Linked DNA regions of Tribolium castaneum. The protein of the gene in region 2 purifies or fractionates together with the protein of the main gene of each other region. This does not show direct contact. Links are inferred from orthologs where the notes say so. Each region holds a gene or a part of one and is shown on either strand. Other genes may lie near its edges.

Region 1 (2,940 bases), on a different chromosome or scaffold from region 2:
ACAATCAATTATTCTGCTACTTGTTAAGGCTGAGCAGAACTCAGATCCACTTACACAAGTTGTGGCAAGCGCACATGTCCGGGAAACAAAACATGTGTGTATTAATTAAATAATCAATCGGTTATTGTTAATTTTTGCAAATTTAGTGACCGGCGAGTGTGGACTTTACGCCAGCATTTAATTTTCCTAGTCAATAATCTACAATATTACCTCCAAGTGGACGTGATCGAGGCGCAATTTTCGCTACTTTTGAAAGCGATCGAAAACGCCAACGAATTCGAGGAGATCATCAAAGTCCATCACGAGTTCATCAGCAATTTACTCGCGAAAACTTTCATCCTGACCCCTGATAAAGTAAGTCAAGTCGGTTTTGAAATTACTTTGGTTAGACTGAATTAATTTTGCAGAGCCACACTTATCAAAACAAACACCGGTTACACCAAACTCCCGCCGTTCAGTTTAACGTCCCGAGTGAAGTAATAATTGTTGATTAAGTGTTTAATTGAACAATTAATGGTTTGTTAAAGGTTTACAACGTGATAATCCAGCTGCTGGAGCTGTGTGACAATTTCTGCGTCATTGCGTCGACATGGCAACCGCAGTTAACCGAACCGGAAGTAACCGAGTTTGAACAGTTCCAGAAACGCACCGATACCATCGTCGATTCGCTTTTGTTTATTCTGTACAAGTTACATGAACGAGCCGATGGCCAACACTTGGTCCAGTTGTTGCACCAGCTCGACTTTAATCGCTTTTTCACTCGAAACAAACCCGAGTTTAACCTAACGCAAAGAACGTAATTTATTTTTTCTTCATCACTTTCATAAATAACACCATATCTGGAATAAATTAATTAGGAGGCAAAGTTATTTCATTCGGCGACTTACTAATAAAAACAACCACAACCACAAGTAACATGATCCACATCCAGCATTTCCAGGCCCGTTTCGAGTGCTCGGCCAATTTGTTCGATTCCGCGCTCAGTTTGGAATAGTTTTGGTCGGTTAGTTGCGCCGATCGCGACACAACTTCGGTGTCTTTTTTGATAATTTTATTGGCTAGTTCCGACTGTTCTTTCAAGTTTTTGGTCAAGATGAGCATATCGTCGGTGATTTTCTGTTGCATGTTTTCGTGGAAATTCAAAACTTGGTCTAAGTCGCTCGTTTCGGGGCCTTTGCGGTGCCTCACGCCTGCAAGCTTTACTAGTACCATGAACTGTTACAAGGGGCCACAGACCTAGGAGGCTCTCCCGGAGCAATTCGGTGTCGTTTTCAGGGGGGTATTTACTTGTAGTGATCCCCAAGTCGGCCTTAATGGCTGCGATACGGCGCTGGTACGTCAGCAGGAACTCATAGTTGGGACTTAAACGCCTGGTTTAGTGAAAATTCGGGGGTTTTGGGACAACTCACTCTGACATTTTTTTCACTTCTTGGTACATGTCTTCAAGACTTTCGACGTATTTAGGCATGCGGTCGTCGTCTTTTTGCTTGCTCTTGCACATGAGCTCGCACTTGGCCAGGAGGCGCCGCAAGTTCACCTCCTGACGCGACAGCCCCATTTTGGCCAACAAACAAACCCGCTCGTGCTAAGTTTTACGAAAAGGACCACGAACTTTCGCTTAATCACCTCATTTCAATAATACCGACGTGTTCAATCGAACTTTGACAGATAAAAGTGAGGTTACGTAAGGGGAACTGTGCCCCAAATTATGCAAATTGGGCGGTTTTGTGTCGTGGTTTTTGCACTATTTTAGGCCATGGACCTACACTACCAAAACGAAGCCACAAAAATTGATAATTAACGATTAAAAAATTGAAATGTCAATTGTCAAAAACCAAACCTCAAATTTCCCACAAAATTATTTAAGGAATTTTGACTTAAAAACACGTGTGTGGGCCAAAACGGGCCAAAAATCGAGTAATTGTGCCTGATTACTGTTCAATCATGGACGAATTGAGCACCCGATTGGATTCGGAAAACCCAACTGTGGCCACTCAAATCGTCTCAAAACTGGCCCAAATTGTGAAAAAGCGCCAAAGTGGTGATATTTTCGAAGTGCCCGAGTTCAGACTCTTGCGGGAAAAGTGTATGAGTGGCAGTGTTTTAGCAGCCGAGGCCATTTTACAAATTGTGAAAAGTGACCCCAAAGTGGCCAAATCGGTGATTACTGACTTTGTCACACTTATAACAACGGCAAAGTATGGGGGTTGTGTCACTGGGGCGTTGTCATGGCTGGTTTATTTCAGGTTCGCCCCAAACGTGGCATTTTTAATTAATAATTTGCTAATCACTGATTTGGAAGAAAGTGGGTACAAATCGTCGTATAACTTGCAAGTGCCCCAACACCCCTTTATTGTAATGCTGAGAGAGGCGCCAAATTCGTGGAGCGCGATTTTTCGGGAGATTAATTTTTGTTACAGAACGGCAAACCCGAAGTATTAATTACGTTTCAACGATCAGTTAGTTATTATTTTTTGCAGAACGATTTGTCATTACAATGAGTTACACAAACCGGTTTTTTTGTACGTTTTGTGTGACCCTAACGGGGAAAGTTTCCCGACTTTCAAACAAAAACTATGGAGTTTTATCATCGATAATAACGAGGAGCTAATTAATTGCTTATTGTCCTGGATGCAAGTAAGTAATTATTTAAAACAAGTGATGCAATTAACTGAATTATTCAAGTTTGAAAACAGGGACACAATCGAGATTAACTCCGAATTCTTGGCGGAATTATCCGATAATTTCGACCAAGACTTGCTACTTTTGTGGCAAGTTTCCTCCCTCTTCCAATTGATTAAAAGTAATTACGACCCGCGAGAAATCATCTACGACATTAATGAAACACTGGACCAGGTCACAAACTTAATTATTTTAAACCCAATTTTGTTAATTCTGTCCAAATCAATTGACTTATGTTCAGGGGCTTTCCTGTTGCCA
Region 2 (2,420 bases):
GGAAATCCTTGAAGTTGTACAGCTATCCCTCGAAACACTTTTTTTGTATTCACCTAAATGATCCGCAAAAGTTGCCTTAGCGAGCGAGAAAGACTCAATTTAGGAACTCAAATATCATTCCACAACTTCTTGGGTTTAAGTTCGAAAAGCCCTAATTTTAGGCTCATATGAGTCTCTAAATTTGTCCATTATTGATTTAAGTACTATTTTACGAGTACAGTAAAACTTCTCAACAACGGACACTGATGGGGAACCTTTAATTGTCTATTGTGGAGAGGTGGAAATTTTAATATATTGTTAACTTCTTACAAAAATGTCTGTTGTGAAGAGGTGTCCGTTTTTCGGAGGTGTCCATTAAGGGAGGTTCCACTGTATTTCAATAACTGTTGATATTGAATAAAGATATTTTCAAGCAAAAACCGATCGATTAGGATCTCGAAGGGAAATTCAAAACCAATATTAGTTACATTTTAGGTTTCATCCCCTGATCGCTAGCCACCCCTACTTTAAAATTTAAAAGGAGGGAAAGGCTTAAAGAAACAAAATATTGTTTTTTTTGTTTTGTGTTAAAAGTGATATTTTATTTTTTAAATTTTCAGTCTTTACTCAAAATTCAAAACCAACAAAAAATAATCGCTAACCACGCTCTTTACCAAATTATTTTTTTAAATAAGGTAAAAATAAATGTAAGATACGTATTAATGGTTAGATCTCATTGAAAATATAAATTACATTATCTATCAATTTTTTGAAGTGTATAAATAATTTATAACAACTAATTTTGAGAAAAATGTGACGTTGGCGTTTACATACTTTTCAAAGAGCTAATACTTTAAACTAACGTTTAAATTTTGAATTGGCGCCATTGCTTGGTTCAAAAACGGAAAACCCTGCTCATGAGTAGGTTACTAGATTTACATTCCATTAGCTTAGTCGGGTGCTAACGAGCTTAAAACGATGGATTCATCCGATTACGTGCTAGAAACGTTGAGAAAAGACATAACTGAGCACAATTTACAAATTAGAGCGATAATTCAGGTGCGTATTACCCACAAATAAACCCTGATTTTTGACACGTCCGTGTTGTGGTAGGACATCAACGCATGCGTCGGCCCATTGGCTGAATTGCAAGGTTTGAATAGCGCGGGACGTTCAAAAATTTCCGCCTTGCGGAAATTCATCGACAAATTCGGGGATATAGCCAAAGAGCGCAAAAACCCCACGTTTTTGAAAGACGTAGTTTCGTATCGTGAACAATTAGCGAGGTGATTTGGTGTATTGTGTCGCATTTGTGTGAAGAGATTAATTTTGTAGCACAATGGAGGCGTTCAAAAAGGCCAATATTAGTGCGATGTTGGCCATAGAAAAGGGGGCTCAGGAGGAGTTGTTGAAACCGAAAACTGAGGAAACGGCGCTGCGTCAAAGGCAAAAACGCGATAAGGAAAATTTGGTCAAAATGAGCTCAAATGTAACCGAACAGTTGTTATCAATCAGTCGGCAATTAGCTGATACGACGAAAAGGAGTGCGGATACGCTGGACGCGCTAGTTACTTCCTCCGATAGTGTAATCGGGTCACAGGAAGAACTCAAAATAACCTCAAGTACAATTAGCCAGTCGGGGAAATTGCTGGCGAAGTATGGGCGAAGGGAATTCACCGATAAAATCCTCATGTTCTTTGCGTTTGTCTTCTTTGTGGCGTGTGTTTTTTATATCGTGCAAAAACGATTATTTTAAATAAACTTCAACTACTTTCGTTATAATGAGTTATTTTACGAGTATTGTTTTTATAGACTGAAGGACCTTGGTCCAAGGCATCTGGGAAGCCCCCAGATTACGCTAAATAAATTATTTATTGTATTGTTGTAACCACATTATTATTAAAATACGTTTCGTTATTATTGAGACATTTATAATAATAATAATATTGGGTTTTTAAAAGAACTGATTTTTCCCTCAGTTCGTACTAGCTTTTAATCACAAAGACAAAAAATCACCTACTTTAATTATAAATTCAATTGATCGCATGGTATTTAAATCTCTTAACAAAACTCAATTGATATGATTGTTTAAAACCGACGTATTTTATATATTTTTATGTATTTTCGGTTAAACAAGAATGGGGAATATAATCATAAGCTTCTTTATAATTTATGAAAGTACAGATTTTTCTATTATGATTTCTTGCTTGTTCTATAATACGCTGTTCTTTACATTCAACTGATCTTTTAATACAACGGTTTTGGTCTTCATTAATTATTCTTAAAGCATTGATCAAATTACCTTTTAAACTATCCAATTCAAATATACAGCGAAGATTTTATTTTACCGAACACCCTAATTCTATTAATCCTATGTTCAATTAAAAAAAAATCATATCAATGCATTATTAGAGTGCTTAGATCTTCTGTATTGTGTATGG

Evidence for each region.
Region 1: the proteins of Sec20 (region 2) and Use1 purify together in Homo sapiens (co-immunoprecipitation; 4 studies listed by BioGRID and IntAct, counting the BioPlex papers as one, with this or other methods). This does not show direct contact. The link is inferred for Tribolium castaneum from reciprocal best matches to the Homo sapiens genes BNIP1 and USE1.

The regions. Positions count from the first base shown.
Region 1 is NC_087396.1:21,173,851-21,176,790, forward strand, and holds Use1 (vesicle transport protein USE1), read right to left. Parts: upstream 1,559-2,940; coding exon 1,410-1,558; intron 1,362-1,409; coding exon 1,237-1,361; intron 1,191-1,236; coding exon 888-1,190; intron 875-887; exon of another isoform or gene 840-874; coding exon 802-839; 3' UTR 801-801; downstream 1-800. Other genes in the region: Grip75 (gamma-tubulin complex component 4), read left to right, coding at 1-94, 147-354, 408-476, 528-800; focadhesin, read left to right, coding at 1,945-2,198, 2,247-2,435, 2,481-2,637, 2,686-2,940.
Region 2 is NC_087395.1:17,502,659-17,505,078, reverse strand, and holds Sec20 (vesicle transport protein SEC20), read left to right. Parts: upstream 1-856; 5' UTR 857-957; coding exon 958-1,038; intron 1,039-1,092; coding exon 1,093-1,265; intron 1,266-1,314; coding exon 1,315-1,735; 3' UTR 1,736-1,761; downstream 1,762-2,420. UniProt on the Homo sapiens protein: As part of a SNARE complex may be involved in endoplasmic reticulum membranes fusion and be required for the maintenance of endoplasmic reticulum organization. Also plays a role in apoptosis.